3 linked regions of the Mus musculus genome follow. The protein of the gene in region 2 interacts with the protein of the main gene of each other region in a pairwise test. Links are inferred from orthologs where the notes say so. Each region holds a gene or a part of one and is shown on either strand. Other genes may lie near its edges.

What was found.
Region 1: the proteins of Zfp24 (region 2) and Zfp446 interact in binary tests that used the Homo sapiens proteins (3 or more experiments, as listed by UniProt). The link is inferred for Mus musculus from reciprocal best matches to the Homo sapiens genes ZNF24 and ZNF446.
Region 3: the proteins of Zfp24 (region 2) and Ccdc130 interact in binary tests that used the Homo sapiens proteins (3 or more experiments, as listed by UniProt). The two-hybrid records come from large-scale screens. The link is inferred for Mus musculus from reciprocal best matches to the Homo sapiens genes ZNF24 and YJU2B.

What each region holds. Positions count from the first base shown.
Region 1 is NC_000073.6:12,980,701-12,983,535, forward strand, and holds part of Zfp446 (zinc finger protein 446), read left to right. Parts: intron 1-1,145; coding exon 1,146-1,227; coding exon of another isoform or gene 1,228-1,283; exon of another isoform or gene 1,284-1,418; coding exon 1,419-1,975; 3' UTR 1,976-2,835. UniProt on the Homo sapiens protein: May be involved in transcriptional regulation.
Region 2 is NC_000084.6:24,018,362-24,022,112, forward strand, and holds the start of Zfp24 (zinc finger protein 24), read right to left. Parts: upstream 2,453-3,751; 5' UTR 2,351-2,452; intron 2,010-2,350; exon of another isoform or gene 1,471-2,009; intron 1-1,470. UniProt on the Homo sapiens protein: Transcription factor required for myelination of differentiated oligodendrocytes. Required for the conversion of oligodendrocytes from the premyelinating to the myelinating state.
Region 3 is NC_000074.6:84,260,399-84,264,049, forward strand, and holds part of Ccdc130 (coiled-coil domain-containing protein 130), read right to left. Parts: intron 3,547-3,651; coding exon 3,464-3,546; intron 2,651-3,463; coding exon 2,595-2,650; exon of another isoform or gene 2,573-2,594; coding exon of another isoform or gene 2,569-2,572; intron 1,403-2,568; coding exon 1,342-1,402; intron 288-1,341; coding exon 145-287; intron 69-144; coding exon 1-68. UniProt on the Homo sapiens protein: May be involved in mRNA splicing.

The DNA.
Region 1 (2,835 bases), on a different chromosome or scaffold from region 2:
TTTTCCTTGGTAAGGCCACCATAGGACCCTGTCTTGCCACCAAACTACCTCTCTTCAGACCTTTCCAGCTGGTACCAAGCACCTAAGCTTTTTTTCTCCATCACTTTTGCGTACTCACCTCGTCACAGTCCTAAAATTCCTCCTCCTCTTCCTCCTCCTTTTTTCTTTTTTCTTTTTCTTTTTTGGTGTGTGTATGGGAGGGCAGTTCAAGACAAGGTTTCTTTGAATAACAAGCCCCAGCTGTCCCGGACTGGCTTTGTAGACCAAGGAACTCCTGAGTGCTGGGATTAAAGGTATGTTCTACCATGCCCAGCTTCATTATTCTTTTTTCATCTTAGTCTTCCAACCCACCGCACCTTGTTTTTGTTTTTGTTTTTGTTTTGTTTTATCTCTCTACTCAGCCCCAAATGTCCTGGATCCCAGTATGTAGACCAGGCTGGCCTCTGCCTCTGAGTACTGGGATCAAAGTGTGCACCTACCATACCTGGCTCCTTAGTCCTCTTTCTAAAAAAATAAAATAAAATGAAATAAATAAAGGTTTTGCAAATGTAGCTCATTTGGTAGAGTGCCTGCCTAGCATGCATTAGGCCCTAGGTTCTATCTCCAGCACTGCATAAACCGGTAATCCCAAAACTCAGGAGGCAGAGACTGGAAAATCAGAACTTTCAAGTTATCCTCAGCTACGTAGTGCATTTGAGGCCAACCTGGGCTACATAGACCTACTCTTTCTCACAGGCACCCCAATAAAGGCCAAAAAAAAAAATCTCTCACCCCAAGGAAGAATTTTCAGTTTTGTTAATCAGTCTTGACAGAAGGTAGCTGAAGCTCAGGTAGTCTCCAGACCTCTTGTTGACTTTCCATCACATCCTGTTCATAGTGTAGTGACTAGAAGGATAGACAGCCACTGTGGCTTTCTCCAAAACCTACCCACAAGTTCAGTCCTCTGGCCATCAGTGAGATAGACCACTGAGAAGACAGGGATGGTAGGTTGGACAGATGAAAGCTGACCCAGAACTCACAAATGCCAATACTGGCTTGGTCCTTAGCCTGCTACAGATGGAGATCCAGTAACCTGCCAGCCACGGGGTGGTGGGTAGGGGTATGAGGCTGCCTGGGAGAGGCAGTGACTGCTTGCATCCTTGCAGGAGTGGGGCCTGTTGGACTCATCACAAAAAGAGCTGTGCTGGGGTGTGATGCCGGAGAAGTACGACACAGTGGTGTCCCAGGGTGAGGATCAATGGCCTTCCCTGTCCCATCCTCCACACACCTCCCACGTGTACTAGGCCCTCACTGGGGCTCCCAGTGCAGTGGCCCAGCATCCGGCTGCATCTCTCTTCTACCAAAAGGTTCCCATCCCCATACTTTTGTGTAAGCCCCCATGTGTCCAAGCCCCCAAATGAACGTTCTTTCCACCCTAGCAAGCCTGCCGCTGCTACAGCCAGAGACACATGTTGACTCTGAGCTGAGACCAAAACAGGAGATGCCACACGAAGGACCAGAATCCCTCCGGAGCCATCCCCCAGAAGTGGGAGCCATTGCAGATCCAAGGCTAGTTCAAGCCACTCCAAGTGAAAGGCAGAGCCCTTGCAAGGACCCTTCAGTCTTGTCTCCCACACCACTGCTTGAAGCCCCAGCGAGGCCCACACCTCGGAAGCTGTACGTTTGTGAGCAGTGTGGCCTCAGCTTTGACTGGAAGTCCGTTTTCATCATCCACCTCCGCACACACACGAGAGGGCCAGGCCTGGAGAGACCATCACAGGTGGCCCGGGAGCCGGCCATGAAGCGCTCCCCTGGCCTTCGGGGATACACATGCGTGGAGTGTGGGCGCAGCTTCAGCTGGAAGTCACAGCTGGTCATCCACCGCAAGAGCCATGCAGGCCAGCGGCGCCACTTCTGCCGCGACTGTGGCTGTAGCTTTGACTGGAAGTTTCAGCTGGTCATTCACAGGAAGATCCACCAGCCAGAGGGTCCATGAGTAGCTGGAGAGGCATGTCTCACCTTGGATTCCTCCATCCCCTAATGCACCACTTTAGCATCCTCTCTAGCCAAGAGGAGGTTCTAAGGTACCCCAAATAGGTCAGGGATTGCAAGAAGATTGCCCTGTCCAACACCAGACTATCCAGTGTAAGGAGAAGAGGCTAGTCCCTTCCTTTGGCCCCTGCTTTGTGGAGCCAGGCCTGGGTTCGATGACTAACCTATCCAGCTTGTGCAAAAGGTGGACACTCCCTACTTCAGGATGCTCAGAAATTGCCTCAGGTCCCTCCTTGCAGTGGCTGGGCAAGAAGTCTCTGTGGAAGGTACTGGAAACCACAGTTGCCTTTCTCCCCTGCTGCATGTGACCCTTAGACAAACATGCTAGATTTGTTTGTTTTGTTTTGTTTTTTGAGACAGGGTTTTTTCTGTGTAACCCTGGCTATCCTGGAACTTACTCTGAAGACCAGGCTGGCCTTGAACTCAGAAATTCACCTGCCTCTGCCTCCCAAGTGCTGGAATTAAAGGCATGTGCCACCACTGCCTGGCTAACATGGTAGATTTTTAATGTAAGTTATACGTCTATAACAATTTCTAAGTAAAACTCCTGACTTCTAGCTTCCATTGACCAAAAGAGCAGCCGTGTGTGCTGGCTAGCAGACTACAGGAACCACAGGGCAGCTGAGCCCTAAAAGGCCTAATTAGTTACTTCTCTCCTCCAGCCTACCTAGTTTCCTGACTACACACATTGCTCCCCACCCGCCCTGGCCTTTGAACTCCTGAACTTGAACTTGGATGAACAACTGACTCTCCTTTGGGTGCATGAGAGCACATGAGTGGATTCTGAGAAGTTAGATAACCCAT
Region 2 (3,751 bases):
TAAAGTAGTGTAAAAATTTTAATGACTAAAAAGCACAGAAGCGTTTCTTGTTGAGAAAATATGATGTATCTGTCCAGGATCAGCAGGGTCACTTGGTTGGCCAAGGCCTGCTGCCGAGCCTGCTGACCCGAGTCCGATGACCAACAAGTACATAAGCGAAAGCTTACTTCTGCACAAGCCGGACACGACGTGTACACCCCCCCCACACACACACACACAAATAAGATGTAAAAATGTTTTTTTAAAATGATTTATGGGCATTGGTGGTTTTTCTTGCATGTATGTCTGTGTGAAGGTGTCAGACCCCTTGGAACTGGAGTTACACACAGTTGTGAACTGCCATGTGGGTGCTGGGAATTGAACTCAGGACCTCTGGAAGAACAGCCAGTGCTCTTAACCACTAAACCATCTCTCCAGCCCCATTAATATGTTTAAATTTTGTGTATATAAGTCATTAAATTTAATTGTGGTTCAGGCTATAATGGTAAGAGTTGACAGCATTCAATGATTTCAGCTAAGATCTAAAACAACGTAATATTTACTATCTTGTCCATTCTTGGAAAAAAAAAGATTGCCAATCTGTGACATATGGTCAACCAAAGGTAATTTAATAACCTAAGGAATCCAGGTAAGAAGCCATCTATCTCAGTGGTCTCCAAATGCTCTGAAGCTTGGGACTGGAAAGCTGGTCCAGCAATTAAGAAGGTGTTCCCTTGCAGTGGACCCTGGTTTGTTTCCAGCACCACAAGCCTCTCTCTTCTAACCTCCTTAGGCACCAGGCAAACACGTGGTACAAATATACATAAGATAACAAACTAAACATTCAGAGCGGTGGGACATGTATAACTTTTTTTCCCCCATTTATTTTGTGCTGGAATGCATCAGCACAGGCGTGGAGGTCAGAGGACAACAGGCAGGAGTTAGTTCCTCCCTCCTGCTATGTGCAATCTGGGATCTTAGGAGCAAGGCCCCTACCCGATGAGCCACCTAGCCCATCCCACTTTTCTTTTCATTTTTTGCAAACCTGGAGTAGGAAACAGATCAACCACAGCCCCAGCCCGAACCCCCCGGATTAGAGACTTATCCAGGGACCTTACACACCCTCCTCTACTGCTGAGCTAACTCTCGGAATTGTGCATAAATACTATGTTGTTTGTTTAGGAACTCCCTAAACTTAAAATATATGTGAGAAATGTTCACTAGTAGCTAGCTATGTGTCCTAAATCTGTAACCTCAACACGGAGGCAGAAGCAAGGTTATCCTCGTCTACATGGCAAACCCAACCTGGGCTAGTAGATCTGTCACAAACTCTGCTTTACACAGTTCAGTAACCGATCGCATAACACTGCGGAAGAAGCTATTTCACATAACATGCAAATGTTACTCAGGCATCCACCACACCATATATACATTTAAACTTACAGTAACAAGTATCAGCTGCAGCAAATTCTATTAGGAAAAAGCACTTACAGTTCTCAGTGGACAGGAGTCTTTTTTCCTCAGTCAGCTTCCCTAACTTTTCCTTCGGGGAAATTTGAACTACTTTCTGGTCCTTTTGGTATTTGCAAAATCATAACCGTGCCACGGATAACAGCACATAGACACTCTTAACTCTACAGCTACTGTTTAATCAATCAGAGCCAAGAACCAAAAAACCAGAAACTTAACAAAACCTTACTGAAACCGGTCAAGGTGAAGACAAAGGATGAGAAAATGCTGTATCAAACTGACAGGTCATATAGATAAGAGTGGGATGGCCTGAGAACAAAATCCAAGTTATTTGTTCTTATTCCTGGAGCCGACTCTTATCAACAGCTCACGTATTTCTACATAACAGAAACTGCTTTTTCTTTTACTTTGTACTGCACCAAGCTCGTGGAATGTGCAATCCGGCACTCGGCAGGATCCAGGTCTTCAGCGACCTCCCGCCTCACAGCGCCGTGCCCAGCCTGCCCCAGCAACTCGGCCGTCCTCTTCCCAGCATTCACCAGGAGGGCCGCAGAGGCCCCGCCACACTGGACAGGCACTTCCGCCCGGGACCAGCAGGACTACAAATCCCAGTAGGTGGTGCGCGAGAACCGCCGGATCCCACTTCAGCTTGAGCGTCTCCCAGAATCCTACGCGAGCCGCCAGAGCCTCGAAATAGAACAAAACCGGCCCGTGGGGGAGGGGAAAGCAGGGCGGCGAGGATGCGGGCGCCGGGGGCTCTGCGGACCCCCGAAGTGCAGCAGGCCGCCGCGGCCCTTCCGCCGCGGCCTTCTGTGCGCACGCCCGGGATGCCGAGCGACGCCGGCCTCCCGGCCCCTACCCGCGCCCTCCTCCTCGAGCCCTACCCCCGCGCGCCGCTGACCTCTGGCTCGGGACCCGCCGCAGCCTCGTCGTCCCGGGCAGACGCAGCGCCGCCGCTTCCAGCCGCTTCCCACAAGCCCCCGGCGCGCACGGCTTCCGGTCCGCAGGACGGGGGGCGGGAGGGAAATGGGGGAGCCGATGCCCGGGGTTGCCATGGGGACGCGCGGTGAGCGGGGGAGGTGCGGCTTGATGACAATGGCCGCATTGAGGCTGCGCTTGGCCTGGCGCCTTTCGCAGAGTGACTGTTGCTCTCTGTTCCACTCCAGAGAAAGGAGAGGGGAGCAAGAGGGACGTGGGCGGCAGTTCCACGAGTGCCCGGTACTCCTCTCCGGAGCCCTCTGGTTAACTGACGAAAGAGAACATTTCTGAAAGTGTGCTGTAATCGGGTCAACCGCAGTCGCTACGTGTAAATCGGTTACATTGCCCCCGCACCCTATAGTGTTTGCTACTTAGGAGCTTTGGGCCCTGACACAAGGTTTGCCTCTAACCATGCCTCAAACCATCGTCCTCCACTAGCTGTGTCTCAGAGACTACGACAGGTTATCAAAGAAACAAGATGAAACTAGTTGAGGCCTTTGGCTAGTCACAGAGAATTGCAGAATACACGCATGCTGGTTGTTTAAGGCAGCTGCAGGTGTAGTCACTTAGATCGCCGTATTCCCCTTTTTAAAGTCCTCTAGTGGATCTCAGCTACCTTAACTATTGACAGAAATTTGTTACGTTGTCCCGTAGGTTGTCTATGGTCTGTTGCCTGCCTTTTCCTTCTGACCGTGATTGTGCATGACTCTTATTAAGCATGGGACTTATTGTGCAGCCTCAGCCTCACTGACCAATGAATGCCCTTTCCTCCAGGTGGCCTCCATATGCTTGTGGCCACCCTTAGAAGTGATCTTCTAACTTAGCTGTGCTTTGTTTGAAAGTCCTGTAAAGTTGGGTCCTCTAGGTCCTGGTTAGCACAGTACCCACACCTAGTTTCTGGATGCTGACTGGTACATAGAAAACTCAGTAAGTACACTTTGAATAAGTGAATGAATTGTAGGCTGGTCACATTGCATGAGGCCTTTGCTAGGTCACATGTCAAGTCTCAGAAATCGCACAAAAGAGCTCTGTTTTGAAAATACTCTTGTAAGAAGCATAGGTCAAGTTTGCAGAACATTGAAGCGGTCCTCAGGCTTTGCCCTATTGTCTCATTCAGGAAAGGGCCTCTGCAGAGTGTCCTCGCCTCTGCTCCCGTAGTGAATGAGAGAGCAGTAAACAGGCAGCTGACAGAATAGCAAGACTCAACGTTCCAGCCGGAGCTCACCTTCCCATAACCTCTGGAACTTTCCTCTCTTCACTATGAGACTCTAATACAGCCTTTTTACCCTCGGGTTTGGCTATAGCCAGAATCCGGCTTGGCTGG
Region 3 (3,651 bases), on a different chromosome or scaffold from region 2:
GCGGTCAGCCTCACCATGCTCTAGGCGGAACATGGCATCCGTCTCCAGCTTCTCTTTCTTCTCATGCTCTGCAAGGACCAAATAAGTGTGACTCTGGGGAAGCAGCCAGAGGTCGTGTGGGACGGGCAAGCAGATGGTGCTCACCTGTGGTCAGCACCTGCTCGTTGTCTTCCATGTCCCAACGCTCCTCCTTGCGACTGGCACCACTCACGATGACATAGTCACAGTTGGCAGGGTCTGTTTGCATCTCGATGTAGTTGACACAGAGGTGGCATTTCATCCTGAACCTAGAGAGGAACTGGAGTTAGGATGCTGTGGCTCCATCCTGAGACCCCAGAACCACTGCCCACTTCCTTTGGTGTACTACACACTTCCAGAAGTCACTGAGTATCCCTGCTCACATCTGGGCGAACCCTGAGGAAGACACACAGGCTTGCATACAGATGGAGCAACCAAGAGGCTGAAGGTGGGCCTGGAGGCTCAAAGTATAAAGCCTGCTCAGCATGTTCATGTTGGCTCTCACCTCTAGGGTGACAAAATAGCCCAACAGAACTGGTAGGTGTGCTGGCACCCATTTGTGATCCCAGCACTCCCCAGGCTACACAGTAGGACCCTATCTCCACCTACAGTCCATCACCCAGACACGGAAGCTGGCTCTTTCATTCCTTCGTTTGCTCATTCCTCACCTATCTACCCACCTCCCATCCCCCAGTTCACCCACTCACCTCCCCACCAGTTTATTCATCCACATGTCTATCTACCCATCCATTGCCTGCCCATTGGTCCATCTATGCATCCATCTTCAGATCCATCCACCCACCCATCCTCTCCTTGTTCACTTTCCCACTTATCTAGTCACTCACCTAGGCATCCTCACACCCACCCACCTACCCATCTGTTTACTCCTTCCCACTCCCCTCTACTGGTTCTTCTGTGCCAGGCTGGGTGTCAACAGTTGGGAAAGCTGCTAGTAAGACAATCTGCTCCGGGAGGGGCAGGTGTGCCTGGGGTGAGCATGCCCCAGCAAGAAGAGATACCCCACAAGAGGGGACAGCTTTGCAAAAGGGCAGTGTCGGAGCAGCACAGCGATGGAGCCGTTTAGCTTCTGTGTGGAGGGAGCAGAGATTACAAGGTCTGAAGCAGAGTAAGAGAGCCTAAGCTTTTACTGGGGAAGGTGGGAGCCATGAAAGACTGGAGGAGGTTGACAGGCCAGAACGGATAGTTCTACAGACGACGGCTCTAGAGGAAGGTGCTGCGTTCCCTTTCCCTTCAAGACTCCTCTATAGACTCTTTAGCCCGTGAAGCCACGCCTATCCCTGAAGTGCCACCAGATGCGCCTACCTGTAGATTGGAGTCGTGTAATAGTTGCCAACCTTCTTCTTTTCTGCATTGTAGCGCACACCTGAGAGGGCGGGGAGAGAGAGGCTGGGACCATGACACAGCAGCAGCTTTTCTTTGGGTGGGAGACAGACAAACTGCTGTTTGCTGCCTGGGAGGGCAGGTGCCCTGCAAGGGCCCAGAAGCTCACAGTAGGAAAGAATGAAGTTTGGGAGGCACTGGGGTACCTAGGCTATAGGACAGTGTGGACTGAAACAGAAAGGCCCGGTCCACCCTGCTTCCACTGACTCCCAACTGTGTCCCCTAGGCAAGGTGCCTCATCCCTCTGGACCTCTGTCTCCCATTTCGTCAACAGAGATGAGGGTGAAAATGTCGATGGAGAGATGGGTGTGGGGTATGCCCGTGACCCAGCACTCGGGAGACAGAGGCAAGATGGAGTTTGAGGCTTACCTTGATGACACAGCCAGACCCTGTCTCAAATACATACATACATACTACTCGAGTGAATAAGCTCAGCTTTCATTATTCTTTTCAAAACTATCTGATTTTTCCTGGGAGGTAATATAGTCCTATCTTCTGATTGTGAGTGGCAGGTACTGAGCCTGGGTGCTGCCCATGGCATGGCCCGGCTGCTCCTCTCTGGGGCAGCTGCTTTAGCTTGGGCTAGAGGTGGCCATGAGGTGTCTGGGGGTGGTTCAGCTCCCTGTTTTCAGTCCTGGGAACAGGACCCAGGGTCTTAAACCTGCCCAGGGCCCGATCTCTGCCCCAACAGTGCACACCTTAGGTAGGTCTGGGCTGTGGGCCTCTCACTTTCCTTCCCTTCCCACAGCCACCTTGTCTCCCAGATCTCTGCATCTAGGTTGTCATCTTCATTTCCTGGAGCCTAGCTGACCCTGAGGCAGGTCAAAAACACTACAATCTCTGCCCCATAGCCTAGCCTAGCAACAGCATCTGCCCTTGCTTTTCTGCCCTAGTGATGGATCCAAAGAAAATCCCTGCCCTGCCCTTGCCCAGGATCTGGACCTCAGGGCCTAACCTTCTCATTGCTCTCTGGCTTGGGTACCTGCCACCTTCTGATTTGCCCTTGGGATTGGCAACATCTCCAGTGTCTCATAGTACTTGGCACAGAGGGGGCCGAAGGAGTGGGCAGGGCAGGTGGGGTGGGCGACATCACCCACACTCACCCATGCTCACCCATGGCTGCGCTCACCCATGCTCACCCACACTCACCCATGGCGGCGCTCACCCACGCTCACCCATGCCGATGTGGTTCTTACAGCCGTCACACCAGATGTTGTATGGCATTTCAAATCTAAACAAAGACAAGGACTTTTTATTGTTATTTCCTTTAAAAGTTTTTTCCTACGACTTAGCCACTGTGTGTGTGGTGGTCAGAAGACGACTTTCATGAGTTGGTTCCTTCCTTCTACTACATGGCTGTGGGCACTGCACTCAGGATCTCTGGCTTGGCAACACTTCACCCACTGAGCCATTGCTCCCCCACTCCCTTTTTTCTTAAGATGTATTCTGGCTGTTCATGAACTCTTGGACTTGAGTAGCCCTCCTGTCTCAGGCCACCTAGTCCCGGGTAGGCAGGAGTATACACCTGTACAGGCCCTGGCTGGCCACTCTTTCTTCTGGCTCCTTTCCTTCTCTATCACCCTCTGGCTTGGCCACCCAGAGGAAGAGCCTGGCCCAGCCCTGGAGTCAGGATCTGACCAGACAATGGCAAAGAAGGTTCAATGTGTCACGTTTGGTCCTGGCCTTAAGAGCCCTGGCACTTCTGCTTCTTTTGGAGCCATGGTACTGCTGGTCTGCTGGAAGAGAGACCTGCTGTGGAGCAGTCTATCTGTACAGGCCAAGGCCCCACAGGACTAGTCTTCTGCTTCCTGGTACTCATCAATGAAGGAAGACGGCCTCGTCAGGTCCTTCCAAGCCCAGAAGAGGCACCTAGCCTTGTTATCAGTAAAAACTGTTTATTGTTTTGTTATACAGCAATGGCTGACTGATGCAATGTCTACCAGCTTTATGGAATTATAACGTTCCAGCACTGGGTCAATCAATCAGGGGATATAAGATTGATAGAAACTGGAGATCTTGGGAGAAGGGAGGGGTAGTTTCTTACCGGATAACAAGGATGCCTTGTGAGAGCTTCCGAGCCCGTTCTCGAAGTGGGTGGCTGTTGTGGTATCGGTTGAGAGAGCCATGCTGTATGGAAAGGGTGAGTGAAGCCAGGCAGGACCAAGCTGGGTGGCTTACTGCCCTGCTGTCCTACTGCTGGGAGACAATCCTCCCGAGGAGGAGGGGACTCAT